Regions from separate parts of the Mus musculus genome. Here regions 2, 3, 4, 5 and 6 are each reported to be linked to region 1. Evidence: microRNA targets listed by miRTarBase, many of them from high-throughput screens and not tested one by one. Region 1 holds a microRNA gene; each other region holds the end of a gene's coding sequence.

The links. Region 1 holds the annotated microRNA mmu-miR-9-5p (UCUUUGGUUAUCUAGCUGUAUGA, at 1,441-1,463, opposite strand). A microRNA usually pairs through its seed, bases 2 to 8, with sites in the 3' UTR of a target mRNA and lowers its output. Matches are read on the target gene's strand: a 7mer-m8 pairs with bases 2 to 8, a 7mer-A1 pairs with bases 2 to 7 and ends in A, and an 8mer does both.
Region 2: miRTarBase lists Neto2 as a target of mmu-miR-9-5p. Seed matches in the 3' UTR shown: 7mer-m8 at 2,404-2,410 and 7mer-m8 at 1,445-1,451.
Region 3: the mRNA of Lfng is a reported target of mmu-miR-9-5p. The part of its 3' UTR that is shown has no 7-base or 8-base seed match.
Region 4: the mRNA of Camta1 is a reported target of mmu-miR-9-5p. Seed matches in the 3' UTR shown: 7mer-A1 at 2,914-2,920.
Region 5: the mRNA of Syap1 is a reported target of mmu-miR-9-5p. Seed matches in the 3' UTR shown: 8mer at 4,348-4,355.
Region 6: the mRNA of Arhgdia is a reported target of mmu-miR-9-5p. Seed matches in the 3' UTR shown: 7mer-m8 at 1,010-1,016.

What each region holds. Positions count from the first base shown.
Region 1 is chr7:79,501,669-79,506,741 of GRCm38, reverse strand. It overlaps Mir9-3 (microRNA 9-3), which reads right to left and starts at 1,478; the gene lies at 1,389-1,478. All of the region lies in intron 1 of Mir9-3hg (Mir9-3 host gene), which reads right to left. Gm51285 (predicted gene, 51285) reads left to right here and starts at 1,406; the gene lies at 1,406-1,463.
Region 2 is chr8:85,636,465-85,641,537 of GRCm38, forward strand. It overlaps Neto2 (neuropilin (NRP) and tolloid (TLL)-like 2), which reads right to left. Exons shown (of 9, transcript NM_001357288.1): 9 at 254-4,652. The coding sequence ends at 4,072. Among named protein-coding and RNA genes, the nearest start is that of Mir8109, 62 kb to the right of the region's middle.
Region 3 is chr5:140,613,990-140,619,062 of GRCm38, forward strand. It overlaps Lfng (LFNG O-fucosylpeptide 3-beta-N-acetylglucosaminyltransferase), which reads left to right. Exons shown (of 8, transcript NM_008494.3): 7 at 202-287; 8 at 418-1,556. The coding sequence ends at 484. Among named protein-coding and RNA genes, the nearest start is that of Lfng, 9.2 kb to the left of the region's middle.
Region 4 is chr4:151,058,044-151,063,116 of GRCm38, forward strand. Camta1 (calmodulin binding transcription activator 1) reads right to left here. Exons shown (of 24, transcript NM_001081557.3): 24 at 1,480-4,812. The coding sequence ends at 4,780. Gm38529 reads left to right here. Exons shown (of 2, transcript XM_017320565.2): 2 at 1-1,013. Among named protein-coding and RNA genes, the nearest start is that of Vamp3, 2.6 kb to the left of the region's middle.
Region 5 is chrX:162,853,135-162,858,207 of GRCm38, forward strand. Syap1 (synapse associated protein 1) reads right to left here. Exons shown (of 9, transcript NM_025932.2): 9 at 3,709-4,874. The coding sequence ends at 4,750. Among named protein-coding and RNA genes, the nearest start is that of Gm23901, 5.4 kb to the left of the region's middle.
Region 6 is chr11:120,575,088-120,580,160 of GRCm38, reverse strand. Arhgdia (Rho GDP dissociation inhibitor (GDI) alpha) reads left to right here. Exons shown (of 6, transcript NM_133796.8): 3 at 111-194; 4 at 417-493; 5 at 582-645; 6 at 731-2,062. The coding sequence ends at 930. Among named protein-coding and RNA genes, the nearest start is that of Arhgdia, 4.0 kb to the left of the region's middle.

The sequences.
Region 1 (5,073 bases):
CCCAAGCCTTAAGGTATGTGAACTGACTTTGGATCCTTTCTTCCCTACACTTGATAGGGTCCATAGCTGGGTCTACATCCACCACGCGGGAGCCCTAATGGTTTCCTAAGTTGCAGGGGGCCCCAAACTTCAAGATAAGGAAAGAGTAAAGGGAGTGGCAGGAAGGAGAGGGACCTGAAGGCAGAGAAACCTCAAAGGGACCTTCCGCTCCTTGTGGGGCTAAGAACCACGGACACAGAACATTGGCACGCCCCACTCGCAGCGCCCAGCTAAGAGGGACCTGGAGCTTGAGTGGCCGGTGTGCAGCATTGGGTTGCCATGGGAACGGAATTCAGATTTTTTCCCCCAATTGCTTTTTTATTTGCTAGACATTGTAATACATCTTATGTTGCCATTTATTGGGGCGGGAAGGAGAGGAGCTCCAGAGAGCCTGGCTTCCCCCTTAACCAGTTGGGGAAGTTGGGGAGGCTCCGGCCCCAGCCGTCCGACCAGAACTATAGAGGTTTAGAGGATCTGGGCTACGTCTCTCCCGCCCAGCAGCCTGCTCTTGGTTTGTATGCAGGGCAGGGCCGGTCGGTCGGGGCGGGAGGCCCCCCGCCTAGGCCCCTTGCCATTGAGTACACTCCCCGCCAGTTCTGCTCCGCTTCACGCTGCACACAGACCCCCCAACTGCACACAAAGGCAGCTGCCAGAGCCGGTGAAAAGTGATCAAATTATCAAGAACTTGACCTCACCGAGGGGCGAAGCTCCAGCAACCCCCCAGCCGTATGCTAATGGTGCTCAGGGGCTGACTCGTCGAATAATTCGATAAAGGCTGCATTGTTAGCGGCAGGGCAGCCCCCTGCCCACCCTTTTACTCCCCCTACACACTGCCTACCGGTCTCTCTCTCTCTCTCCTCTCTCTCTCTCTCTCTCTCTCTCTCTCTCTCTCTCTCTCTCTCTCTCTCTCTCCCCCTTCCTCTCTCTCTCCCTTCCTCTCTCCCTTCCTCTCTCCGTTCTCTTTCTCATCGCATTTGCATCCCAAAATCCTAGTCTGCAGCTCAGGGCGTGGATTGTTCTAGCCTGATTTATGGGGTGAAGGCAAAGGCTGGCGCCTTCCCCGCCAGCGACCCCTCTGCAACCCCAGCCCGTTCCCTGCCCCCAACCCACTCCACTTCGGGGTTCCAGCCTCGGCGCTGGGAAATGGTGATGGGGGTGCAGGGACCGAGGAGGAGGTGAAGGGAATGCCTCCAGGACACGGCAAGTGTCCCCAGGAGAGCCGAGGTCGGATACCTGGTCCCGGCGTGGCCGCTCCGTCGAGCTGGAATCCCTGGGTGGCGTGGGCTTCTCTGGGCTCCTCTGGCTCCTGTGGCCAGGGCGGCCGGCCGGGCCATCGCACGCAGAAGTTGTGAGAGTCATTTCTACTTTCGGTTATCTAGCTTTATGACGGCTCTGTGGCACTCATACAGCTAGATAACCAAAGAGAGAAACGGGCCTCCCATTCGCCGGCACCGCTGCCGCGCTGTGGGCCCCACGTGCCGCCGCCGACCCGGCGCGGGGGCCTGAGCGGACTCCGCTCCCGCAGCCCCGGGCGCACGCGGAGAGCCAGAGGGGACCGACAGACACACAGACACACGGACTCCCGCCACCCGGATCGCCCAGCTCCCTTCCTCCCTCGCCCTCGCGATTTCTCCATCCCCAGTTCCCCGTCCAGTGCGTGCGCGGCCCGCTTCGACGCCGTCCCGGGGCGCACTCGGGTAACCGGCGCTCTGCGCTTGGGCAGCCTCGGGCGCCCTGGCGGCCCCCAGCGCACTGGACCATCAGCCCTCCTCTCGCAGGCTAATCGCCCCGCGGGGAAGTGACGTCAGTCGGGGGATCGGCCTATCACGGGCTTCCATTCAAATCCCAGCCCCCTTCCCGCGCTCGGCACCACCCAGCCTTACAATGGCCTCGGCGTTCACGGCTTCTGCGCCGCGAGGACAGGGGAGCGCCTCTTCTGCCCTCAGAAGCCTTAGGCCTGCTTGCTTGGATGCACACAGTCTGGCCTTTCTCTCAAACCTCTCTGACCTCCCAGCAACGTCTTAGGTGCCTGGCAGCCACCGCAGACCACCAGAGTTAGAGTTTGAGGGAAGAGGTTTAAGGTCGAGGTCTCTCCAAGGCAACCAAGTGAGCGCAGGAGAGGCTGCGAACCGGTCACTTTATCCTTAAGGTCTCTCTTCCTTTTTTTTCTTGCCCAGCACTGTACAGACACCGCGGTAGAGACTGGGGATTAAGGGAAGGAGTGGGTGTCTAGATCAATGTATCCCATATATATTGCCTGACTTGTAGGGATTCCCATGGCATGCTTCGCTCAAACCAGGTCCTAAATGTCGGCACCAGATTGTTAGCCCTTTCCCTCTGACCATTCCTAGTACAGCCAAGGATATGTAATCAATTGTGCCCCTGCGCCTTAAAGATATCCAAGGCCGTAATTGGGCTCCTATTCACCTCCCATAAAAATAATCAGCTCCTGCCATCTTTCTGCTCACAGCACACCCTAGCCCACTTACTCCAAGTGACTTTACAGGGCAAAAGAATTGACATTTTGAGGTTTCACAGTAGAATTGAGCCTGGCCACCAAACTGAAGTCCCGTCTCAGTCTCCTAAACGTGGTGGTTTAGAGGTTGCTCACCTGAAACCCATCCTGTCTTCCTTGCTCCTGTACACCCCTCCCACTATGAGCCCTGATTCACCCCCTTCACCCATTCCTGGGAGGCAAAGGATTAAATATGAAAAATTCGATATCTCCTTCCCCCCCCCCCAGTCATCCCTAGAAAGATCTTAAATCCAAGATCTAGAGATTGACTTAACAATAGAGTGGGGGTGGGGGGTAGCGGGTTCCAGGATTCCAGCAGTGACTATGAGGGAGTCCCAAAGACTCTCTGTGCTAAGGCATCCCCAAAGCAGCCCAGATTTGGTGGGGGTACTCATTCAGATCTGTTTTGGTGAGGCGGGGGGGGGGGCACCCCTTACACACTCTCCATCAGCAAATCCCATAAGGCTGGGTTCAAAGAATAGGCCCAAAGTGGGTGATTTGGAAGGGATCAGGGAATTTTTCTAAAGGTATCTAAAGCAGTCTCCCTTAAATGACACATCTGGATTTTTTTTGTTTAATACCAGGCTTTGGCACCACACCTCTGTACCCCGTGCTTGTTTTAGATTCGTCCTATTTTTTATCTTGACCCCAAATCCAAGGTGGGCTGCATCCCCACTGCCATCCCTGTCAGCCAGTGAGCAAGCCAGCTAGCAGTTACACACCTCTTTCCAAATGCCACCTCACAGACAAATCCTTGTCTCAGAAAAAGGACACAGGCTAGACTGAAAAGCATCAGAGAAACAGAGGGGCCGACCTACCGACAGCAAGGCCCAGGAAGGAACCTCGAATTTGGGCCTGCCTGGTTAATTCTAAAGGATTTTTCATAATTAGGAGGTGTCCCTTTCTTCTCCTCCTACAGCCTCTGGAATCTACACCCTCTTCCATTTAGCTGTGTGTCTGTCAGTGTGGGCGGCCTCCTGCGCTCTAGTCCTTCTGGGCCACCCTGAGCTTGGATGGGTGGAACTGAAGAGGCAGAGGGAACTGTGCAAGCACGATTCACCTGAAAGAGGGGGAGGGAGAAGAAAGAGGGGGAGTGGGGAGCAGGAGAGAGGGGAAAGAGAGAAGGAGCGTTCTCAGAGTGTGATTTAAGCAGGACGCTGCACAAAATGGCTCCTCGGCTGTGAGGTTCATGGTTATAGCACGCTGGAGCCCTGGCCTGAGAGCCTAGGGCTGGTTAGGAGTCTGGGAGAAAGACTAAAAAGCTTGATTTTGCTTTCTGTTCAGGTAAGGCAGGTTAGTGCCACCAAAGCCACATTTCTGTTGTCCTTTAGGAAACCATGTCCCTTGCCAAAGCAGGTGAGGCCAGCCAGGCAGAGGTTCCTACACCATGCTGGAGTGGGCTCTGTCTCCAGTGTCCGGGTGCATGAAGGTGTTATCAGCTCTCTCTCAGGAAGGAGGCCACAGTGAGTGTGGGCCTTGGGTCATCCATTGCTTGCCCTTTGGAGGATGTTCTGGTGGGACAGGGCAGTAGGTAGTCTCCTTGAGCTAGCAGCCACACCCATGTACAGGATGGGAAGCCTCCAGGTCAGACCCAGCAGGGACACATTGTTTGGGGCTGAGCCTACCCACGGAGGACCCAGCTGACTTTGGCTCTGATTGTCTTTTCATCTTCACACTGTACTCTGGGCCGGGTCTAAGTTCGCTACACTTCCTCCTATATCAATCTCTTGCCTCTAGCCTACTGTCCCTAAGTCCCAAGAAAGAGCTGGCAGTGGATCTAGAGCTAGAAAACCCATGGTTGCTGACAGGCCCTGGCCATGGTGCTGAGAACTGCCCACCCGGCATTTTTTTGTCTTCAGCAGTTCACCTAGCTCAGAAGTTCCTTGGTCTCCAAGTTGTGGTTTGAAACCTGAGTCCTAAGGGTGCCTACAGTAACTTAGAAAAGCAAGCATCCAGGGGGACGGCCAGCACTTAGACATCTCCACCAAAGGTTGGAGACTCCATTTTTCATACTCCTATTTTCATAAATCACCACAGAGGGACAAAAATCCTGCGCTGAGTTCCCATATCTGAATCTACAGAAACTATCCACATGTGCCCTAGAGCCCACTGAAACCTACCTTGCATTTTCTCCCACAGTCAGCTTATGAGGCCGCCCCCAAGGCTGGCATGTTACTTGTGCATGCAGATCTACATGCACAGTACAGGAGTGCTGTTGCGCCTGCTGGCAGGCATCCACTCCATGAACTCCACTTGCCTCGACTCCGTGCTTCTATTCCCTGTCGGTAGTTACTCCGCTTATGAGATAAGGGGTTCCGAGAAGGACAATTCACACCCTCACTCACAGTAGGGTGCAGATACCCTTGTCCTGCGACCAGGACCTTGCCCAGATCCTGAGGCTGGGAGCCTGGGGCTGGTGGAGCAAAGCAGATGCAGCCACTTGGCCTGCCATTCAGCCTGGCAGCAACGCTCCCTTTCATCCCCCTCTGGGCTGTAATTAGGACACAGAATCTCTAGCC
Region 2 (5,073 bases), not on the chromosome of region 1:
CTTTACGCCTGACCCATCTCGTCAGCTAACCATCCTATAACGTTTTTATTTTAAAAGTCCATCTTCTGTTAATTTAAAAGTAAAATATGCTTTTTAAGTATAATAATCATCCACAGTTGCTTTAACAAATAAACCCTGACTATTTTATTTGGAATGCAGCAAATAGGAATTCGTACTGTTTTAGGAAGGGCCTATAAATGTCCAAAGTAGCTAAATGTTCTACTTTTACACGCTTCAGAATTGAGGCAAGGAAGAAAATCAAAAGAGGAATTTTTATTTGCATTTCAAGGGTTAAGTACTTTAAAGTGCCAAATCTGGATTAAGCAATGAGAATTCTTACATGATCTGGAAGTTTGTCTCTAATAGAAATCTACTCCTTAAAAAAACAAGTTTAGGTAGTACTCACTATACGTGCACCCTCATCATTAGCTTGGAGGCTTTTTGAGCCAGTAAACCAATCTCAGAAATATAGTCAAAAGTATCTTAAAAAGCCGAGTGAAGAAGAACATACTACTAGGAAAGATACATAACAGGTAACAGATGGTGTAGGAAGCTAAAAGGATATCCCAGGTCAGCTTGTTCTCTTACAGTGGTTCAGACTCAAATAATTCTCAAAACTCAAGATACAGTACCCAATATTTAATTTCTATAATGTACATTGTTAATTTTAACTAAAAAAATTACAAACGTGAAAGCACAGAGCTTTCTTTCTGGCATCAGCCTATGTGCTGCTAACCAGCACTGTTTACTAAGAATTCACAGTAATTACATATTCTGCAGGTGCCAAGGAAGTCTGGTAACAAAACTGATGGGATAACAGTGTTATATAAATTAAAAAGGGAGGGTGAAACCCCCTTTGTATACAAAATTACAGCATTACATTTTAAGTAAGCATAACTAACAAGTTTTGCATGGAACATCTAGGCTGATGTTTGGAATTATGTGACTTTTAAAAGCTAAGCAGGGAGAGAAGAAGCCAAGGAAGGTTACTGGGCTAGGAGGATGGAGCCATGGGGAGCTACTTCACCATCAGGGTTTTGTCTTCTCATTGACAAAACTAGACTAGATCATCTCTCTTGGATCTTTAAACAGAACAAAATAAAGTTCCTTCTGTCCACAATCAATGTGATTCAGGCACATTTCTCTTAACACTTGTAGTAAATAAAAGTGGGCATATGGCAGACATCATTTTGCAACAAAGTGTAATCTCTGAATGTTAATTATTCCTGGAACTACAAGCAGCCTTTTCTCATCTTAGCTGATATGTTCCTGACCCAAGCAAGTACCATCATTAGGTAGTATCCAAAGTATAGAAATGTTCAGTGCAGACTGCAGTTCCTTAATGCTTAGCAATGATACAAAACGCATGTAGGAGAGTGACAAAGACTCTCCTAAAGCAAAGCTAAGGGAGCCTTTCAGATCCATGATGTGAAATGTAAACATCCTTTGGTTTTTGTTCAATATTTATATTGATAACTCTCTTCTGCAAACAAATAACAGTTTATTCCCATGTCTTTGAGACAGTGGGATGTGTAGGTTGCAGTCTGTGGCTACTTGGGAGCTGACAGCTTGTAGTGAACTTGGGATGAACGACAGCAATGTGTTGGTATCATATAGTTTGTACTTAGTACTTTCTTGCACTGGAGATTTTTACTATCCTCTGGCTTTGCATTTTTCACTGAAGGGTGTGTTTAACACAGGTACTTTGTAGGGTATAATAACTCACATAAGACAGCTTAACTTCATATTTGTTACTGCTTAAGTTTATGGCTTTCACTTTAGCCTCTGAATATAAGTGTTTTCTACTGTGAAAAGGATCAACTTTCTAGTTAGAGAATTTAGAACCAAATGATCACCCGAGTTTCTCTTGCTGATGCATGAGATCATGCAAATTTACATGGTTGGAATGTTCAGTATTTTGTACAAACAACTGTTTTGTAAATCCCTTCAAATTCCTTTAAAATAGAATAGTGTTAAAAATAAAAATACACCTACAAGTGATCATGATGTATGAAGGCATACTATAAACTATAATCTTAAAATTAATGATGAATATGACAACTATTTTTATAGTGGATATAATTTATAAAATTGTTAATTTTTATTTCACTATGGTATCATAGCTATCAATTTAAGTATTTACTATGGTGTTGGAGTGGTGGCTGGTCTAAGTCACATAATAAAATGCTTATAGTTACTGAAAGAACATTTAATTTTTCTCTGGATAGTTCAGTGATTACTATGTTTTGAGATTCCTTTTACTTTTCCAAGTTCTATTTTACAAAGCAGGAACATCTACTGACTTAAAAAATTAAGTCATGCTTATGCCAAGGGTAAGTTTTCCCAATATTCTTGATATAATTTCCTTTTTAAAAATAAAAAAAATGTCATACAGAAAACACACTTTGGTCAGAAAGTACATCACACTAAAGGTCAAAGTTTTTAGTAATCTGAGAAATCAGATTTATGTAGTACTTAAAAAAATAAATGAAATCTAGTGAAACCTCAACTTTTCATTCATTGGAAATTTAGTTCAATATAGAAAATGAGAATTTACTTCTTTAAAATGGCATTATCTCTATTGGTTATCATTAAATATATGAATTCTTCCTCATCTATATCTTATTCAAAGGATTCCTGCTATAAATAATATAATTGAAGGATCATGAATTAATGTATACTCTAATATAAGATTTCTGTTGTGATTTAGAACAATAAATACCACACAGTGAAAAACTTATTACCAACTAACACAGCAGCAAAAGAAAGAAAAATGTATGTACATATCACCATGAGCAAGGTCTTTATAATAAATTACAGTACAGTCCCATCACAGTATTCTTCTATATAAAGTCACTACTGTGAAGACTTAAAGAAATTGTCTTGTATGTCTTAAATCTTGATCTAATAAAGTTTATACAATATCAAATAATATCAAAAGTCTAAAAAAACACAATGAGTTTTGATACCGTGTTTATAAATTATTGTTTTATATACTTTAAAAAACATAAGGTTAAAAGTGCAGCTTAAAAAAAAAGTTGAAATTGCTCTTCTCGATAATGGGTAGAAAAATGCACTGTTTCAAGCAGAAGCTATGTAAAGGCTAACACAGTTTCTCTGAGAATTTCTTTAAGCTTCCACCAACCATGGCCATGTCCAAGACAAACCAATACCAAGAGAACAAAGAAATCGTTTTGAAAGATGATAGGGAATAAGATCTGAGAAGCTCTGCATGGAGCCATAATTAAAGGTCTGCTCACAGGTGAGTTCTAGGACCCTGATTACTGTCACTGAATTGAGACCCAGTGGGGAAAACTTCAGAGGTTGCTACAAGTTTTTAATCTTTCTCAAAATTCTGTTCATGTGTATCTGGTAATAATATACCCTAGGATTCTTACTTTTTTAGTATAACTAAGATGAAACATGATTAAAGGTGATAAGTCCTACTTCCCATAGAAAAGCAGAACTAAAGATGCAGTTATTAAAGACAACAGTGTAGAAATCAGTCAGGAAGAAATGAAATATGACTGCATCTTAAACTGCCACTTATTACAGTACTAGCCGTATTACACTCATTTAGGAGCAAATGCATGGCCATGCTGAATTGAGTGACATATTATCCCCGTCTGCAGGAAACTGAAATGGTAAAACCACAGGCAAAGAAAACATAACAGAAAAAAGAAGGACAAAAGGAATATAAAGAAAAAACTTTTAAATTTACTGTGAGATCAAGTTGATGGGGCTGTGCAGACACGCACAGTGCCTGGTGTTCACAGCACCGGGCTGCTCTGCCTGACTTAACATGCATGACCTGCTCCTCAGCTGCTATTGCACTGGTGGTGTTTTACAGGTTAAGATACCAGCAACAGATGATGCCTTCTTTCCACTGAATACATTTAAGTTTCTTAGTTGGTTTCACATATATAGATTGCCTGAGATAATAAAATCATCAGCATTATGATAAGTTATGAAGGGCTTTCTAAATTTGATAGAACAAGATTGGATGCGGAGATAGAATGAGTGTTGGTGTAGGCTGCATACACACTTAACAATAATGCCTTTAGTCAGCAATTAAAAGTCGATGGATATGGATGCTTGTGCAGAATCGTCTCGCCCTCTGACATAAATTTCACAGGGAATCTCCTCCATCACTCTGTCCTCTAGAGCCTGTTCAGGGCACTCATGAGCTTGTTTGAAAGTGTAGCTGCTTTTTTTGAAGGTGCTATTAAATGTTTTCATTGGCTGTGGTTGTGCAAAATCATTTCGGAAGGGAAGTTCCATGGAACTGAGGTTGGTCCTGCTTTGTTTCACACTGGATGCTTGTGATCCACAGTGGTGGTCGTGAATGCACCGGGAGGCCGTGGAGGAGCGCCGCAACTTCTGGTAGTTGTCAAGTTCTTCTGACAAATCTGCCAGATCTGCAGAAATCTCTTTCTCTCTTAGTGAAAATAGTTCATAATGAGGAGGATCAAATACTTCCTGGAACCCAGTTTTATTAAATGCAGTTTTGCAAGCCATAACCTTTTTCCGGGGCTGTTTCACTTGTACTAAAATAGAAATAATGAGAAGGACCAAGACAATTCCTGATGTAATGCCAATAATTGTCCCATGAGTTTTAGTGATTTGTTCAAATAGTCCAGCTTTTTTCTTTTCTGTAAGAAAGAAATGTTGAGGTTTTTTTTTTTTTTTTTTTTTTTTTTCCCCAAAATTCACTTATAGGAGTTCCAATATAGATTGGCTAGTTATTTTTAGACGAAATAGGAGATTTGGGTCAAATATACCAGACCCTAAAAACCTGGTTTTTAAACAAATAGAAAATATTATTCCCATGATTTCTGAGTCAAGTAACAAATAATGATATAGCTAGCTAGGGCAAAGAAAAACTAAAGTACTTGGTTCCCTTACACAAAAGGTTCACAAGGGCCTACAATTTGCAAATTACACTAATATGGAAAATTTAAAAAACAAATACTCTTGACCTATTAAGTTTCTGCCATAAGGCAGATTCAACAAACTACTGTGTTGATTCATATCTGTGGAATCAGATTAACAATCCAGATGTACCACCATGGT
Region 3 (5,073 bases), not on the chromosome of region 1:
AAAGTCAAATAGATTCTTCTAAGTTGCTGATCATGCCCTTTGAGGGGACACTCTTGCTCTGTCTCCCTTATGGTCGTAGGCCCCACCATGGGCTTCATCCCCAGGTGGGCCGAGCCAGTGTCCTTGGCTCAAGGGACAGCAGCAGGAATAGCCAGGCAGGACTGCCACCTCTCCAGCATCATCCTGTTGCTCCCAATGCAGGTGACCCTGAGCTATGGCATGTTTGAGAACAAGCGGAACGCAGTGCACATCAAGGGACCATTCTCTGTGGAAGCTGACCCATCCAGGTAAGAACTCGTAGAGGGTCACCAAGTACCCCCGGGGTTGGGGGGGTGGCAGGAACCCCATGGTTGGGACTGCCAGAGGGCCCATGGCACCCCCAGCCCACGCAGACCAGTCTTTACTCTGTCCCAACAGGTTCCGCTCTGTCCATTGCCACCTGTACCCAGACACACCCTGGTGTCCTCGCTCCGCCATCTTCTAGCAGTCGTGGTTGAAACTCTGTCCCTGGGCGCCCCTGGTATCCAAAGGGCCCAGGGACCTTTATTGTATGCCCTGGCCTTGGTGTCCGAGGCTCTTCAGGGCTATGTGTATGTGTGTGTATGTCTATATTTGTGTGTTTGTGTGGCGTGCCCACCCGTGTTGCAGACTGCTGGGCAGTCGTGTTCTTCAGGGAGTGGCAGGTCTGTCCCTAACTACACTCTGAGCACCACTCCGAGGGCAGTTGTGTGGGATCTGTGTTTGGATCTCTGCAGTGGGGGTGGGTGAGGCCTTGGGGCTCCACTCAGGGGTCCGTGGGTGCTGATTGTAGCAGTCTCTTATGTTGGGGTGCTAGCACCTATCTGGAGCCTTCCCTGTCAGCTGAGCTGTGCCCAGTCCTAGGGAAGCTGATTTGGGTAGTAAAGGCCTGGACCCCTTGTGAGCTCTGGCCCGGGCGCTGCCTGGTGCCATTCTGGTGAACAATGCTCCCCCACCCCCTGCCCTCCAGGGTGGAGGCGAAGTCTTCAGCCCCACCCTCTGATGCCCTATCTTTGTCTCCCACACCAAGTGGGGTTCAGAGCTATGAATTTTATCTCCTCTCCAAAGTAGAGAGAAAGTCGCCCATAGTGGGTGTGCCTGTACATATTGTGACAGTATTTTTTTACTGTGCTCTTTCTTGAAAGGGGAGGGGTGGGTGTGAAAGGAGGTGGGGGGTGGTTGTTTTCTGGGGTGGGCTGGAGAGGGTCTTATTTTATCTTTTCTGTGGATCAGAAAAAAGTGGAAGCCAGACAGGCTTGGTCTTTGGAAAGCTGGACAATGAGTGCCTTAGTACTGTATTTATGCCTTCCAGTATCTGGAATCCTGCTCCCCCCCAACCCTCCCCAGCACCCCAAGACTTACCTCACCCCCACCACCCCCAACTCCTCACTCCCCTACCCCTGGGCTGTATTCTGTGTTCTTTTTGCAAAGACCTTAACTAGGCAAGCTAATGATGATAAGGGAAAAGCTCTCAGGGAATTGATGTGTTGTTGCTATGGTGACGTCCTTCCTCTGAATAAAGGTGCTCTTTGCAGCAACCCAAGGGGCCCTAGTCTTGCTTGGGAGTTGGGGCTAAGCCACCTGTCCATCAAGGTAACTCGAGGGGACTTTCAGATGAGGGCAGGGGAGACCCAGTCATGACATAGAGAAGAAGGCAATTGGTAAGAATTCAGCAAGTTAGCCGGGCATGGTGGCGCACGCCTTTAATCCCAGCACTCGGGAGGCAGAGGCAGGGGGATTTCTGAGTTCGAGGCCAGCCTGGTCTACAGAGTGAGTTCCAGGACAGCCAGGACTATATAGAGAAACCCTGTCTCGAAAAACCAAAAAAAAAAAAAAAAAAAAAAAAAAAAAAAAAAAAAAAAAAAAAAAGAAGAAGAATTCAACAAGTTTACGACTTGGGAGGGAAACTAGTGTTAAAATAGATGAAGTATGGCCAGCTTGGTGTAGATGTGCCTCTGATGGGTTGATACCATGTTGGGAGGTGGGAATTGGACAGGGCTGATGGCGGTAGCTGCTTGATCAGGTCATGCCCTGTGTCAACCTCACTGTGTCCAGACCTTTCTGGAGGAGGTGCAGTGGCTAGTGGGGGCTGGCCAGAGACCCATTTTCCAGACAGGAAAACTGAGGCTCAAAGCAGGCTAAATGAGGATGACCAAAGTCAGGCAGCCAGGCTGCTGAGGTGGATGACCCCCACCCCCCCTAGATCTTCGTTCCCTGTCAACTCTGCTGACACTGCCTGGCCTCTCATCTGTCATGAGATACACCTGTCATGTATCCTCTGAGGATGGGCAGTACCCAGGCTGCTCACTCGTGGGTAGAGCTGGCGAGGACTCGGATCTTTCTGAGGCTCTTCAGGGACCTTCCTCAAATCCAGCCACAGAGGCTGGCTGATCGGGGGATCCTCACCACACTCCTTCCCTGTGGTCTCCTTGTTTCCGCTCCTTTACAGAGAAGCAGGCTAGTGCTGCCCACCTGCTGCCCTTCTGTAGGTGGCTGCCTGCTCTGACCTGACCCCGGACTCACGGGGCTAGGTCCTCATTACCTGCCACCCCTGTGTCCTTTGCCTTCTTCCCCACACCATTTGATTAGAGATCTGTCCTGCACTCCACCAGACATTGCTCACAGCTGTGGGTTCAGCACCCCCAAGTGGGCTGGGCATGGCCCTTGCTGGTAACTGCTCTTGCCTTGTGGGGTGACTGGCCAGAGCCTGACCCCACCTTGGCTTTGTAGTTTGGCTTTTTAAGGCCTGAGGCAGCTGCCTGGGATTTTCAGAGTAGGGGATCCCCAGTGGTGGCCGTGGTCCTTGGCATACAGGGCCTGGTGGCGGTGGCTTGGGGCCCTACTTCTAGATGAGGAAGCTGACATTTGTAAGGGTGGAAAGGTCACGGTGGAGCAGTCTGCACACGGGCCATGAGCCTCCTTCCTGCCTGGATGAGTCAGAGGCCTGCTACCCTCTGCTCTGGTCGTCAAAAGCCCCTTGCAGCTGGCACAGAGCTGGCAGCCACAGAGGTGTGGTACAGCGGCACCAACCTCGCCGCCGGCATGGAGCTGGGGGCCCCAGCCAGGGTGAGCTTCCCATTCTGATTGGAGCCAGAGGGTGGTCCTGAGCCTGGAGGGCAGAACCTCAGCACGGAGCAGGAGGGGAACCCAGTGAGGTGGCATAGGTCTCTAACCTAGTATTATTCATGAGGCTGTTGAGGTAGGAGGATTGTGAGGGTCGTGAGATCAGAGCCAGCATGGGTTACCAAGTGAGGTCAAAAAAATCATCTAAGAAACAGAAGCCAAGTAGGGAGGGCCCAGGAAGGGTCTAGCCAGTGGCTTCAACAACTCCCAGGTAGAGCAGGCGGAAGAGTTTCTCCTGAGGAGGGAAGCAAGCTGACTGACTGACTGACTGACTGACTGACTGACTGACTGATTGATTAATTGATTTTTTTTCAAGACAGAATTTCTCTGTGTAGGCCTGCCTGGCTGTCCTGGTTGATCTGGAACTCAGATTCACCTGCCTCTGCCTCCCAAGTGCCGGGATTAAAGGCGTGCGCCACCAATGACTGGCTGCCTGGCCGCCTCAGTGAGGGTCTTAGCGAGGAGCCCTCCTCTCTGGTCAGTTACTCAGTCAGGTATCCTGTCCTGGGGCTTCCAAAAGTTTATAAAACGCCAGGTACACTGATGCCTCGTGCCTGTAAATCTCAGGGATGGGGAGGCAGAGGCAGGAGGATCGCCAAGAGTTCAAGGCCAGCCTAGGCTACCTACTGAATGATGCTCCTCCCCTCCCAGCTCTCAATAAAAGTAACACTGCACACCACGCAAGCTCTAGGGTGTCAGGGAGGGTGCAGAAGCAGGAAGGCACCCAGCTTCCTCTCTCGAGATGAGCTGGGTCTGGGAGAGGGTGGCAGGGTAGGGTTGAAGCTTTCAACTTCCCTCTCTGAACTTCCCTCCCCTCTGGGGTCAGCAGGGCTGACTTCCTGGAAGAGGTGCCTCACTGCTGGAGCCGGAAGGCCAAAACCACAGCGTGTGAGCAGAAGTCAGCATGTGTTTGTGGGTGTTCAAGCTTGGCACAGCCCAGACAAATGCACCCCAGGGTGGGGTTTGGAGGGACCTGGTGAGGAGAAGGCTGGGAAGGGCAGTGAGCAAAGCCATTTCGTCTCTCCCTGAGGCTGGACCTCTGATGGTAGAAGTCAGAGCCCGCTGGGTGGCTTCAGCCTCTGTTCTGGGCCTCATGAGGTCTCAAGAGGAAGCAGAAGGCCCTGGGCAGACAGCAATTTGTCAGACCCATTGGCCTAGCCTGTGGCACATTCTCCTAGGGCCACCTGACCCCAGCCTTGACCTCTCCCCCACCAAAACAACAAAAAAAATTTATCTTTTCCTATTCATGCTCGGCATTTAATGTTTTTAAATTTTTTTTTTTAAGTTGGGGCTGGAGAGATGGTTCCATGATTGTTGCTCTTGCACAGCAAGGACCCAGGTTCGATTCCCAGCACCCACAGGGCTGCCCATAACTGTCTCCAATCCTAGGGGATGTAACACCATCCTCTGGCCTCTACAGACACCAAGCGTGAATGGTGTACATACAGACAAACGCCTATGCATGTAACTTATAAAAAAAGGTTAAAAATATTGGGGGTTGGCATTTGTAAACATTTTTTAAAAAGATATATAAGTACACTGTACCTGACTTCAGACACACCAGAAGAGGGCGTCAGATCTCATTACAGGTGGTTGTGAGCCACCATGTGGTTGCTGGGAGTTAAACTCAGGACCTCTGGAAGAGCAGTCAGTGCTCTTAACCTCTGAGCCATCTCTCCAACCTTGAGAAATGGTTTTTGTGTGTCATGTGCAAGTTAGGTCACTAGACTTAACAATACGTACCTTAGCCATCTGCGTCATCTCAGTGGTCTTTTGGCAATTTTTTTTTATTGGTGTATTTCCACTGTACACAGTAATTTCATTAAGATAGCTCCATTTGTCACATGCTTTGACCTATTCATCCCCTCTACCTCTGTCCCCTCTAGGATAGTCGTCTTTCTGAGATAGCCCACGTGTACTTTCATATCACAC
Region 4 (5,073 bases), not on the chromosome of region 1:
GAATCGAGCCGGGCGCAGCGCGGGCTGTCACCTCGGAGCAGAGCGGAGTGGGAGGGGCCAGAGCTTGCGCTGAAGTAGCGCCGGCGCTGACGAGTGGGCGGGCGTTCTCGGTGGACAAGTGGGCGGGGCTAGAGCGCGGCGCCTGCGCCTTTGGGCTGGGCTCTTCGCCGCCAAGGAATCACAGCAGCTCCCTGCAGTGTCTCTGCTGCCCTGTCTCTAGCCCTGGAAAGGCAGTTTAGAGTGAGAATGGGTACGTTTTACATTACTGTGAGCCCGCATACCTTGTCTCTCATGTTAGAAACAGCGGACGTGCCTAACGTTCCAGAATAATCTAGTGGTCCTGAGGAGACAAAGTTCTTTTCTGAGAAAGAGGCAGTAGGAAGTCCATGTGGAGTCTTGGCCACAGGATTTGGGAGAAGTCTCCTCTCAGGTTCTCACATGACAAATATTTGCCATTGCACGGATATTAAATCCCTAAAGGGAGCCTTGGCTTAGAGAACTGTAAGGTTCTTCATTTCTGTAATTCCCTGGCCCTTGCGGAGACGACACTCAATTTTTGTTCAACGGGGGTGAGTAGTTATGTGGAAAAGAATCCCAACAAGGTCTAAAACAGACTAAATAAACTCCGTTGGTGGATTCACTCAATGAAATACACTAAGGTATTTTTCCACTTCAGCATGGTAACTCCCAAAGGTGTGTGTTGCAATTAAAGAGCGCCACACCAGTGGGTACTAGGTTGAGTAGTAGTTATAAAAACCATTCTGGATAGGAGGAAATGGAGAGTGTGGGGCCGGGCTTAAACAGTGAACAGAAAATGCAGTGGGCTCCTGGTGGGAGGTTCAGAGTGTGAAACTGGCACTAGTTCTGAGGTAGATCAGAAGTGAAGTCCTACCAGAGAGATAACAGAACTCTACAGCCAAGAGGACTGGAACAGTGACGAAGAATACCTAGCAGGGAGGCCTTGTGAGGTAAGCTGGAAAGGGTCTTAAAAAAAAAAAAAACACACACAAAAACCACACACACACAACCCAGCCAACTACCTAGTAGAGCTAAAGAGTGTACTTAGTTGGCAGAGTGCTTGTCTAATATGCAGCCCTGGGTTTGATCCCCAGAACCACGTAGACCCAGGCTGTTAGCACACCCATAATCGCAACGAAAGCTTTTAGGTAAAAGGTTAAGAGGTTCAATGTCACCCTTAAGCTTAAGCGTTGGGAATTCATGGGTACTCTGAGCTACATGAGAAAGGTTAATTTAAAATTGAGATCCTTATCTTCCAAGTAACTGCATTTAAAATAAATCGATGTGTTAAGGAACCAGGCAAGGTAGGTAGAAAGGAAGTGCTTTGGGAAAGTGGCTCTAAGTGAAAGGCTGGGTGGGAGAACACTGCATGTGGAAAGTAAAATAATACTTCCAGTTCTAACTATGACCTCACTGTCAACACCTTGGATTTCAGATCAGGTTAAAGCAAAACACAGATAATATGGGGAAATTTTCTTCATTTTTAATTTACAGCAGAAAGAATATAAAGCATTCAGAAAACATTTTCCATATTTTTAAGGGCAATTCAAAACATTTTGCATGGTTTCCAGCAGCTGAGTTCTTCAACAGATCCATTGACTCAATGATGCTTTACATGCACAATTACAAAAATAAAACTTACAAAAAAGGAGACATCTAGACTAGTTTTACATGCAAGTCTCAGGGACCCCCCGTTGGGCGCCAACTACTGTGTGGAACTGCCATAAGCGACCGTGCAGCCAGAAAGGGGTTCATCTTAATGTCTTTATTTCATTCACACAGTACAGCTGATTTTGAATGGGTAACAAGGATAGCAATTAAATCTTCAGGAGACAGAATAAGATTAGCTATTAATTTTATCATGAAATCCTACTCCTGGCACTTGGGAATTCAGATTATCCAAGAAAGCTGCGCCTATCACCTTATATTCAAAATTAAGAGTTACAATCAAAAAAGGTGGTCATAAATGCTTTGTGTCAGTGGAAGTATGCTTCGACCTCACCTAGAATTCACAGTTGTACTGGTAGGTTTTGACCCTACTTCTATCTCCTCCATAAGAACTTCCTAATTCTATGTAAGTCTTTATCTTCCAGAGTTTTCTAACATATTCAGCTAATGTGGCATGTGAAACACTAAAAAATAAATGTGAGGGTTGAAGCAAATCCACTGAGGTCATTGCTCTGGTCAAATGATTGGTCATCTGAACCATAAGCAATGGAGTAAATGTATCCAGATCCATGATTGAGATAGGATATTCTGAAAAGAGCTGGCTTTACATTCTATTCCCTGTTATGAATACAATTGTTTATGTAAATTACTCAGTGTCCTCAGACAGGTCAAATTGTGTAAAATAATAGGTGTGGTGGGGGCGGGGGTAGGGGGGTCGAGGATTGCAACAGCTGCAACATAACCCACACATGTAAAAACAAAATTGGGTCGGGTCAGCTTACAAATGTACAGGTGGCTCCTAGCTGTGGGGCTGTCGCTGTTCCAAGCTGATCACAAGCAGAAAGACATGTACTGTACAGTAATTTGAGGTTGGCAGTGAAAGGAAGTAATTAAAAAACAAGTACAATTATAGAAAAGGCACCGAGAGCACTGACCCCAGTTTTTATTATTATTATTATTTTTAACCACAATCCTTTTGTTTCTACCTTCCTTCTGAAGACACCAGCTTAAAGCTCATTTGTGAATATTTTTAGGCTTCACAACAAGCCTCGAGTTTTAACTCACGGTTGGCAGCCAGAACCATGTTGGTTTGTTTTTTGTTTTTTGTTTTTTAAAAAAAGAAAATCTCATACCAACCAATTCTCACACTTAACCTGGGAGTTTTAAACTGGCATTAGCAAATGCAAAATTGGTTCTCTCATAAGTTAGCTTTGAAAGCATCAGATTTCTTTGGCTCCTCATTACCTGGAAAGTACTGTACCGTGGCACCCTTCCGTCAACACCAATCTCCACCGGGTTTCCCTTTTATTTTGTCGAGTGAGCAATTTTTATTCGTGGTTTTTGTTGTTGTTTGTTTTTTAATTTCCAGCAGGAGATATGAAAATGTGATATTTTTCTCATTTTGTCCTAATTTTTTTTCCTAAACATTGATCATCCTAATGTTCTTTGTTGGTGTGAGTGGATGGTGTTAAGGTCTCTAAGGATTCATCTTATGATTATCTATTTTGCAAAAGTAACTTAATTTTTTTAAGCAATATTAGCATTCACATTACTTGGCACCTTTGGCAAAAAAATTTTTTTTAAATAAAATAAAATAAACTCCTGATAGCCAAAATTAAATGTAAACATATCCTTTTTTTTTTTTTTTTAAAGTAATGCTACTCTGCCTCTTTTCCTAAGTCTAAATACAGTAGCTCCTTTTTATTTTTTGCAGGTCATGCTTTAGCAAAATGTTCTTCTACAGAACATTTAAAATAAAGTACTCTTATAGTGAAATAAAGTTTTTTTTGTTTCATTTTACAGACCATAGCCACTAATGCTTTGCTTTTGTTCTTTTTCTTGAATTCATGCACATCTTTGTTTTAATATATACAATATATACAAACAATACATCCACATTGTTCTCGCTCAGACAAAACTATACAAATAATTTCATCTTGCCATGTTATTGACCTCTGTGAATAAAATATTTAGCAATTAATATAACCCCTTTCAAATATTTTCTCGCTTTTTTTCTCCATTTCTACCTTTTGTATGTACACAGAAACCACTCTGTTTGGATGAGATAGAGCCAAAACATGGAATTTACTGGCCAGAATGCAGCACCACACTGGTCGTTTAGGTGGCAAATGTCCAGGCAAGGTTTATGATCTCTTGGAATTACTAAGGTTTCCAAGGTTACTAAAAAAGGCTACATGCGTTACCAAGTCTTAAGTAATCCTCACTGCAAGATAGTGGGGCAGACAAACTAAAGTGCTGACCATGAGAAGGGACAGGATGGCCACTATCCTTGCAGATTCCTGGGAGGTGGGGGGGGGGGCAAGAAAATGAATTTAAATCCCGTAAGCTGTTTCTCATTATTTCCCGTGCATTACCCGTTTACCACACACCCACCCCTCTGCAAATTTTCACAAGACATTAAAAACCTGCAGATTTTAAAAGTTGCATTAAGTGTGCTGTAGAGATTCAAACGAACGGACGGACAAACCGACAGACAGAAAGAAAGAAAAAAAAACGAAACAGAAACTCAAAAGAGAACAGTGAAGGAGATGAGGACAGGCGGACTCGCACAACTCGGGTGATCTAAGCCCTCCACTGAGAACCAAGGATTCAGCTTCTTGGAAGTCACCGCAGGTGCAGGCGCAGCGCTCCTCGTGTGGCTGACGTCGCCCCGCCTGTTCTTATCTATATTTTTGGTATAAATATTTGTACAGTTCCACACGATGTTTGAATACAGCCCTAATGACAAGGAAAGCGGCTTCCTCCTAAGATGAAGCCCTTCCAGTTCCTCCTGGTGTCTTGTTTTTCCTGTGATCCAACAGAAGATTTGAGTTCCAAGATGTCTTGCTGATCAAATTAAAAGTTGTCCATGAGAGTGCAAATGTAATGACCAAACATTCTCGTTAAAATCCTGCAGCTGACTCCCCAGAACTGCAGAGGGATTTTGTGTGTGTGTGTGTATATATGTGTGTGTGTGTGTGTGTGTATGTGTGCACGAGCGTGTGTGTTGTTGTTGCATGTCTCTGCTAAAAACAGAAATGGAAAGAGTCTGAGAAGCAATGTCACATTGCTAAGGGATGCTGCTGTATGTCTTCAAGTTCCTTGGCCTTTTTCAATTCTTTCACTCTGGAAGAGAAACAAAACACAACACCAGGTGATAACTACAGAGTGGAACTGTGACCAGATAAAAGGAGAGGGGCTATGGCCCCCGAAATGAGATGCCCAGACAAGCCCCTTCTGAAGACTGACACTTGTGAAATTGTTGGGGGAATATCCAAAGACGAAGATGTGACCCTGTGTAAAAACATGGAACGTTTCACCAGGGGTGCTCCAAGAAGAAAGCAAAGCTATTTGCTCTGTTGTTCTGACTCAAGGGTGGTACGTATA
Region 5 (5,073 bases), not on the chromosome of region 1:
CAATTAGTTTTTTTAATTTGTGTGTGTGTGTGCAGGGAGGGGGAGGTGTACATTCATGTTGAGTCTGGAATTCAACCTCAAATGTCATTCCCCAGGCAACAGTCATTCACTTTGTTATCTGAGACACATTCTCTCCTGTACTTGGAGCTGGCAAGGAGGCGAGGCTGTGGGTCAGTGAGCCCTAAGGATCCTCCTGTCTCCATGTCTACAGCAGTAACATTAAAGAGTGTGCCATCATGCCTAACTTTTTTAGTTTTCAGTGTTGTTGGGTGGGGCACTGCTGTTTTGAGACTAGGCCTTACTATGTAGCCCTGGCTCGTCTGGAACTCACTAAGTAGTCCAGGTTGATCTCAAACTCAGAGATCCACCTGCCTCTGCCTTCTGAGTGCTAGGATTAAAGGCGTGCTCCACCATACCTGGTTCATGCTGAGTTTTTTCTTTCTTTCTTTCTTTTTTTTTTTTAATGGTGGGTTCTGGGGATTAAGTCCAGGTCCTCATGTTTGTAACTAAACTATATCTCTCAGACATGCCCTTCTTTTATTTGTTTAATGGATAGGTTTTTAAATTTTGATTTCCTTTTTCTACTTTTTTTTGAGTAAGGGTGTCTATGTAGCTCTGGCTGTCCTTTAACCCGCTGCATACCCGCTGGCCCGGAACTCACAGAGATCTGCCTGCTTCTGCCTTTGTGAGTGCTTGGGAATCTTTAATTTGAAAAAATACATTTGAACAGGCTCTCCTGTGGCCCAGATTAGAATACAATTTGCTAAGTAGTCAAAAACCATCTTGAACTTCTGATCTTCTTGCTGGGATTACAGGCATATGCTACCACACCCTGCTTCTGTGATGCTGGGTATCAAACCTAGACTTCACACTTGCCAGGCAAGCACTTTACAAACTGAGCTACATCTCCAGCCTCCTCCCTGGCAACCTATTTATTTTTTAACAGTGTTTCACTGTGTAAGGCAGGTTGCTTTCCTTCCACCTGAGCTACCTTAGTTAAGGTTTCTATTGCTGCACAGAGGCACCATGATCACAGCACCTTTTATAAAGGGAAACAATTTAATTGGGTCTGGCTTATAGTTCAGGTTTAGTCCATCATCATCACGGTGGGAAGCATGGCAGTAGGCAGATGTGGTGCTGGAGAAGTGGCTGAGAGTTCTACATGTGGATCTGCAGGCAGCAGGAAGACAGTGACAATGGAACTGGATTAAGCATCTGAAACCTCAAAGCTCACCCCTAGTGACACATTTCCTCTAACAAGACCACATCTCCTAATGCCATTCCCTATAAGCCTATGTGGGCCATTTTTATTCAAATCACTACACTAAGTGCTAAGTTACTTAAAAGCATTTGTCACCTCACCTAGACCTCTTGGTTTTTTTTTTTTCTCCACTCCTACCTTTGTCAAAAGTAGAGGTGGCTCAGTAGTTAAGAATACTTAAACGTTTAGAGGACTGAGGTTCAGTTCCCAGCACCCACATGGTAGCTCATAACCATCTTTAACTCCAGTCCCAGAGAACTCAATGCCCTCTTCTGGCTTTCTTGTACACAAGGCACACATATGGTACAGATATACACACAGGCAAAATACATAAAACTGCAGTTTAGGCTAATTTGGGCTAAAGAGTTAAATCCTGTCTAAAAGGGAAAAAACTGATTTCTTTAAAAAACAAACAAACAAACAAAATGATACCCGTAGTTTTAGAAATCAAGTCATGCAGGGCATGGTGGCACACGCCTTTAATCCCAGTACTCGGGAGGCAGAGGCAGAGGCAGGCAGATTTCTGAGTTCCAGGCTAGCCTGAACTACAAAGTGAGTTCCAGGACAGCCAGGGCTATACAGAGAAATCCTGTCTCAAAAAACCAACCAAACAAACAAACAAAAAAAAAGAAGTCAAGTCATACAAAGTTTTTTTTTTTTTTTTTTGAGACAGGGTTTCTCTATATAGCCCTGGCTGTCCTGGGACTCACTTTGTAGACTAGGCTGGCCATGGTGCACATGTCAGAAATCCACCTGCCTCTGCCTCCCAAGTGCTGGGATTAAAGGCGTACACCACCACGTCTGGCTTCATACAAAGTTTTGAAAACAAGAGATCCTGTAACCATTGTCATCCCTGGAATTCCCAGCCCCACTGGAGCCGTTTCAACTCTTAGCTCTGGCCTCAGCCTTGGCTTCCCTCTGGATTGCAGCAGAGTCAGCCTACTCTGACATCACATAGCTATGGAAGTGTAGGGACAGAGGCAGTGTGCCTCCAGAACTCCTGAGCCTTTCTAGGCTTCAGAAGCACAGAAAATCTTGCCTTCTGTAGCTGGCTGTGTTTGTTTGTTTTTTAAATAGAAAGGAAAAAAACCATTTTATTTATTTTTCTTTTTTGGTTGGTGACTCCATCCTTCCATGTTTTTTTTTTCTTTTCTTTTTTTCAAGACAGGGTTTCTCTGTGTAGTCCAAGCAGTCTTGGAACTCACTCTGTAGACCAGGCTGGCCTGGAACTCGGAGATCTGCCTGGCTCTGCCTCCAAAGTGCTGATATTAAAGGCATGCGCCACCACTGCCCAGCTAAAGATTTTATTTATTTTATGTATGTGAGTACACTGTAGCTGTCTTCAGACATACCAGAAGAGGGCATTGGGTCCCATTACAGATGGTTGTGAGCCACCATGTGGTTGCTGGGAATTGAACTCAGGACCTCTGGAAGAGCAGTCAGTGTTCTTAACCACTGAGCCATCTCTCCAGCTCCAGGCAATCTGATGTCCTCTTTTGCCCTCCGTGGGTACCTGCACACATATGCGTGTGTATGTGTATATATGTGTGTGTGTGTCTGTTTGTGTATGGACATGTGCACCATGGTGAGAAGGTGGCGGTCAAAGAACAACTTTTGGGAGTTGGTTCTCTCTTTCCACCGTGGGATTTGATGATAGCCTCAGGCTTGTGTGTCAAGTGCTTTTTATCCAATGAGCCAACATCTTCTTAAGTTCAACTTCTTGGAAGTTTAACTGAGATTTCCCACTTTGTGAGGGAATTTCCATTTGCTTCTGTTTTGAATCTGAGTTAGGGTTTAATGTAGCCTAGGCTGGCCTTGAATCACTATGAAGTTATGGTTATCCTGAACCTGAATTTTCCGTTTCTACCTTCCAAATACTGAGGAATGCTAAAAGTGGGAGATAGCTGGGCAGTGATGGCGCACACGCCTTTAATCCCAGCGCTTGGGAGGCAGAGGCAGGCAGATTTCTGACTTCAAGGCCAGCCTGAGTTCCAGGACAGCTAGGGCTACATAGAGAAACCCTGTCTCGAAAAAAAAAATAAAAACAAAAAACTCTAAAATAAAAAAAATCAACAAGATATCACTCAAGGCAGAAGCAGAGACAGGAGAACTAGGTTTGAGGTCATAGGCCATGAGGCCAGCCAGGATCACAGAAGACCCTGTCTCCAAACCAAAGCCAATGGAGCAGTTTTTACTTTAGTAGGGTGGTTTCTGATGTTGTAAGTGGGAATCCTTTCATATTGGGTTAATGGCCTCAGAAAATCCTCCTGTTCACTGCTAAAATGAAGTAACATGAAGTGAGGCAGTCTGGTTCAGTTTACCAGTACATATCTCAAACAATGAACATGAAAGTGATGTTTACATCCACACCCAGTTCTCTCACTGATTACCTATGCCAGAAGACCCGGAGACGAATTTTACGAGTACAAGAATATAAATACGTACAATTCTCTTATAAAGAAATGTCTTGATTTTATTTCCCTTATGAAATAAAAGTGCTGTGAAAACTTGAAAGGTGAATGGTAGTTAGTTTTCTAACATTAAATCACCTTGCTCTTTTAAAATCATCACATTCTATGAACAGTTGCCTGATGGCATAGCAGAATACAAGAAGTATTAATTAGTAGGTTCTAGATCAAGGAAGACCATTCTATAAAGGATAATTATTTAAGACATTTATACATAGTGACTATTACCAGGAGAACAAACCTTACGGTAAACAGGCTTCTTGACAGTTATTAATACAAAAAGGACTGAAGACCTCAGTTCCTACAAAAAGCACAACGTTGAATTTGTGGTATACTTAACAAAGCAAAATGAGAAGGCTCTAGGGAGAAGTTCAACTTTATTTAAACAAATCTGGCTTGCACTTTTAGCTGAGATAGTGGAAATGGAACCTGGAGCACTGTGAACAACAAGTGTTCACCACATCCCTCCCTAGTCCTGCACAGAAAGTGTTTCAGCATGTCAAACTGGGTGATATTTATGTCATTCAAGTGAACAGAAATATCTCAGCTTTTGTCTTTCAGATAGAATTTTAGAAAATATCCGGCAAGAAAATATTTTGAAAGTGCTTTCTTTTGATTTCTTTGGTATAATTTGGTCATTTTGATAGTAAGATATTACTTTCTGATAGTAAGTACTTTAACCATTTATCAACAAAAAGGCATATATAGAAAAACATAACTAAAGAATAAATTATGTTGCCAACCTTCTAGAAAAAAGACTCTAGTATTTACCTGTGTTTCTGTGGCACAGATAGTTCTGCTGCTTATAAGAATGCTAATTTTATATGTATGAAATGTTACATACAATATCCTGTTGTTTCTGATTATTACAATAGCTGTTCATTTAAGAGGCAAGTTTTAGCTAGAAAAAGAATCATTTCAAATTGCATAAAGTTACACCCTTTTTTTGTGCCTTCTGACTCAGCGATCATGAGAATTTCATGTCACACAATGTTAAGAACTGGTTTGCGGAGACAATTATTAACTCTCCTGAAGCATCTTCTCAATTTCTTTATCCCAGTTTTCATCTCGCTTCTCAGACTCTGCTACCACTTCATATTCCTGAAGCTCCTGTTGTAGCTCCTTTTCCCAATCAGTAGAATCTTCTATAGGAAACAAAGGGAGAGACAAAAAAAGGTGCTCATTGAACTACAATTCACTCAATTTGTAGGTACCTAACAAAGGCCTAGCCTGGGGCTGGAGAGATGGCTCGGTGGTTATGAGTGCTGACTGCTCTTCTAGAGGACCTGGTTCAAAGGCCTAGCCCTTTTTGTAGTAGCAGACATAGCTAGTCAAGGTCAGAAG
Region 6 (5,073 bases), not on the chromosome of region 1:
TGTCATCTAAACCTGTGCCCAGTCTCTTTCCAGACCACTCTTCCAAGGAGTGAGTTTAAAAAGAAAAATCTTAAGGGATGGGACTCTGACTCTTAACTCTCACTCTGCAGACCCCAACGTCCCCAATGTCATTGTGACTCGACTGACCTTGGTATGCAGCACTGCCCCAGGCCCTCTGGAACTGGACCTGACAGGTGAGTGGGTATTAGAATCCCTGGGTGGGGCCAGCTGGCATCTTGCCTCTACCCCTAAAAATAATTTTCTGCACTGATGCCCTCTGGTGGAGAAGAGGGGAAGTGCAGCTAGGGGCTTGCCGAAGCTCTGCTTTGTGTCAGGGAAGGGGCTGGGGAGAGTGAATGTAGCAGGGTGGAGAGCCCTTCAAGCAAGCAGTCAGCGGAGACTCCTCCTCAATACAGGTGATCTGGAGAGCTTCAAGAAACAGTCGTTTGTCTTGAAGGAAGGTGTGGAGTACCGGATAAAAATCTCTTTCCGGGTAAGGTGGGGGCTTTGAGAGGCCTGGAAACAAGGGGCAGAGGGGCAAGCCTGGGAAGGCAGCTGACCCTGGCTCTGTGTCCCCACAGGTGAACAGAGAGATCGTGTCCGGCATGAAGTACATCCAACACACATACAGGAAAGGGGTCAAAAGTGAGTGGGCGGGCCATAGAGTGGGGAGCCATTGGGCCTGGGAGGGGCGTGCAGCACCAGTAATCCTGCCTCTCCTGTCCCTCAGTTGACAAGACTGACTACATGGTCGGGAGCTATGGGCCGAGGGCCGAGGAGTATGAGTTCCTGACACCCATGGAGGAGGCTCCCAAAGGCATGCTTGCTCGGGGCAGTTACAACATCAAGTCGCGCTTCACAGATGACGACAAGACTGACCACCTGTCCTGGGAGTGGAATCTCACCATCAAAAAGGAGTGGAAGGACTGAGCTCCAGCTGGGAGACGGGCAGGGCGACGGACAGACAGAAGGACCGACATGCCCCACCCTAACCCCCTACCTACCCCAAACCAAAGTGCTGACAGGACCTCCCTCACCCGTCATTCCTCCCTAGTCCACTCAGGCAGTCAGCTCTCCTGTCTGCCCCTCCTCCACCTCCTGCCCGCAGGCCCCTGTGGTCTCCAGTGTCACATTGCTGCTTCTGCCTGTGCAGTGGGGGAGGGGTTCCAGCCCAGGCCTCCAATCTGCTGTGTCCCTCCAGGTTCCCTCTGTCTTCCCTTCCTCAGGCCCTGGCTTCTAGAATGGAACAGAACACTGTCAGGGTTGTCCAGCCCACCTTGTCTCTGTCGCAGCATGGGGAAGGGCTGGGCTATCTGTCCTCTAGTCCCACCACTCCCTGGCCAGGTCATCCATCACTGTCAGTCACTGTCTAACCATGATGCCTTAACATGTGGAACGTGTGCTGGGGGCCGTCGCTAACTCTTAACTCCCTGTCTGCATGAGCATGTGCTCTCCCTGTCCTCGCCTCGTCTGCCATCCCCATCCCAGTGACCCACCCAAGGGAGGCCTGGGGTGCGCTGCTGTTGCTTCCTGCGAGCCTGGCCAGCTCTTCCCCTCCCCGTGGCCAGGGTTGGGGGTGGCTCCAGTAGCTAGGGGAGGGTCAATTGCCAAAACTCGATGCCTCCAGCCCCATCTAGGAGGCAGGGTAGGGTGCCTCATTCCTCTGCCTTCTCTGTCCCTTGTAGGCAGTACTCGGAGCCCCTGTCCCCACAGAGAGCCCCTGAGGGACAAAGCCAGCCGAGCCTTACTTGTCTCACCTGGGCCACGTGGCCTGAACCTCGTGCCTGGCCTGTCAGTATTTATTGCCTCCATTTGGGCCAGCTGGCCTGATGCCTCTGCCCTGGTTCTTGGTGCCACCATCCCTGGGCCGACCCTCCCTGGACCCAGCCAGGACAAATGTGGGACCAAGTTCACACAGTTGGGAGCTGTCTCCTGTGCCTCCCCTCCCTATCCCCAGTCCCTGTGTGGTGTCTGCCAGGCCCAGCCTCAACAGGCAGAGGAGCCTGTCCCTGCTTCTCTTCTGACTGGGAAATAAACACCCCTGAAGGAGTCTGGGATTGTGTGGTCTGTGCAGCTTGTGTTGGGGTTTTGTAGGGAATGGTAAGAATCCAGTGGAGGGTGGATGTCCCTCAGATCAGATGTCCTGGCTACAAGGTTGTCTGCTGCTAACAGCCCTGTTTTGTCTTTGCTCCTGGCTTCCTGTGGAGATGTGAATATAGAACAAACCCCAGGCCCATGGGTCACAGTGCTGGCCCTGGGCATAGAGGGATTGCCTGAGTCAGCATATCTAAATTTCCCCTGGCTGGGACTTGCCCTCAGTATGGAGCCCTGCTGGAAGATCAAACTGATCTGGCTCTGAACAACTTGCATGTGTAGGTCGACCTGGTGAGAGAGTTCCCTATGCCTGTTAGTGAGGCTAGTTGGAACAGGAAACCGAGCCTCTGCACATCTCCAGTACTGTGCTCTCTAGAGCACCCACGAACCTAGGGAGAAAGGGCAGGACCACTGAACCATGAAGCTTGTAGCAGAACCCTGAAAAGCCACTAAGCCTTAACAGGGCTCTTGTGTAGCTCTCTGTAGTGACCACAGGGAGGCAGGATTACTTGTCTGTCTTCAGCACAACCAAAGGTACCTAGTAACCTCAAAACCCCATCCTGCCTTTACAGGAGTCAGTCTAAAAACTTCCCTTTTCAGCCTTATGCTAGCTTTGGAAAACCACCCTCTGATGAAGCTGTTCAGGAAAGTGGGTGTACCAGTTGTGTAGCGAGTAGTAATCGGCTACTTTGCTGGAGCCCTGCCAATCTTGCCTTGGGGTCCACCAGTGGTGAATAGTGTGATGAACCTTTATTGCAGGGGGCCAAAAGATACCTTTTTGTCTTGTTGCTGACAGCTGACCATAAATTGGGCCATGTCCGCCATTTTTACTAGATCCATCGGAGCCAAAGACTGGCGGACCCCAGAACCAACCTTCTGTGGGACACTAACCTGATAATAGCAGCTCCTTGTACTAGGCAGCCAAATTGTTGATCCAATCCTTACCCAGAACTCTTCCTGGCCCCAGCAGTCGGGGCCTGAGCAGGGTGAAGCCTTTTCTCCAAACTGCAGAGCCAACCAGTCTCCTAGCTCATCCTTAAAGTGTTTATTAGATGCTCTCAGCGATGCTGTTTATCAAATAAGGGCTTCTGAAGCTCTCTTTGGACCAAGATACTTAATCTTACAGCTCTGAGTTTGTCCTAGGCAGCTAAGTGTGTGAACTCAGACCCTAAGTTCCAAGTGTACAAGCCTACTGCCAACAGCTAGGACTTTGCTCTGGCTCCTCCCAGTGCAGGTTAACTCAGAGTGGCCTCAAAGTGCATGATGTGTTTCCTAGGTCCCAAGTCTAACCAGATCCTCCCAATCTCACGCCCCCTAACCTGCCTCTGTGGAGAGCTGTTGCAAGGCCCTCAGGAGCCAGGCATTCTCCACAGCAGCTCCTCTCTGACTAGGACTCCCAGGAATTGCCTAGCTTCTTGGCTCTTCAGACACCTATAGACAGGCCTCCTCTCCTGAGGAAAGTGATGGGCTGTAGGTAGTACCAGTTGATGAGCAGTCAGCTTCCATGCTGTGTAAACATCTGCTATTGTGATTTACAAGACCCTTCTCTGCCCAGCACAATCCTGTACCAACCAAAGCTACCATCCCCATAGCCGTGGACACCATTCTGCTTCCCGCTTGGCTGTCATCAGCTCTTTCAGTTCACCCTCCAGGTCAATCAGTCTTGGAGTCAATCTGCTGTCCACCCTACTGGACACCCTGCCAGGTGTGTCCCTCCAAAAGGGAGTTGCTTGGTTCTGAGAACTCTTAGGAATAGTCAAAACCTCCAATAACTCAACCTATAGTTGATGAGCATCTTCTCTGAGTAAGACTCCTGCCTGAAGGATATTTCAATGCATTTCCAATGGCCCAGAAAATGTGTAATACTCAGTGTGGGTCTTACAGGACCTTGATACTAGGTTGTCCAAACTAACACCTCTTTTCAGCAATGGCAGCTGCTCTTAGAAGAAGTAAGAGAGGCCTTGGGAAACAGAACTAAGTCATCAGCTGGGCCCTCAAGGGCTTGTAGATGTTCAGGTGATCTGACCTGCATTCTCAGGTTGGGACATACTACCCTTATATTACTACCCATATATTATCTGGCCACTCAACAAACCCAGAGGGCCCAAGAATTTTAGGCCTCTCTCTGACTTCTTTCCAGTGGTTGATTGCCTGGTAGAAGCCAGTGCAGAGATAGCAGACTTTTTTTTTTTTTTTTAAGATTTTTTTATTTATTTTTGTTTTTTCAAGACAGGGTTTCTCTGTATAGCTCTGGCTGTCCTGGAACTCACTTTGTAGACCAGGCAGGCCTCGAACTCAGAAATCCACCTGCCTCTGCCTCCCAAGTGCTGAGCCACCACGCATGGCTTAAGATTTATTTTATTTATGAGTACACTGTAGTAGTCTTCAGACACACCAGAAGAAGGCACTGAATTCCATTTCAGATGGTTGTGAAACACCATGTGGCTGCTGGGAATTGAACTCAGAACCTCTGGAAGAGCAGTCAGTGCTCTTAACCACTGAGTCATCTCTCCAGCCCTGATAGTAGACATTTGAAGACATTCTTTAGTCTAAGATCCTGTGATCATCAGGAGAGTGTCACAGCTGCCCCTCTGTTCCTACAACGTCAGCAGCCCTACTCTGTTATGTGGATATGGCAGCTGCCTGCATTGAGAGCTTTATCCATTCTGTGTCTGACACAGAGCCCAGAGGCAAACTGAGACTCAGCCCTGGTCCTGAAGGCAAGTTGTCTTTAAACTATCACACTCAACTCCCTCCCCTGCCCTGTTCTTTTCCCTTCCATAGACAAAACATCCCACGCCTAGCATTTAATTACCAAAATCCTGAAACTTTTTTTTTTTTTTTTTTTTTTTTTTTTGAGACAAGGTCTCAAGTAGCCCATGTTGTCCTTCAGCTCCTGGTATATTTTACTATACCTGTAATTCCAGTCATTTAGGAGGCAGAGGCAGTACAATTGCTCAAAGTTCGAGAGGCCAGGCT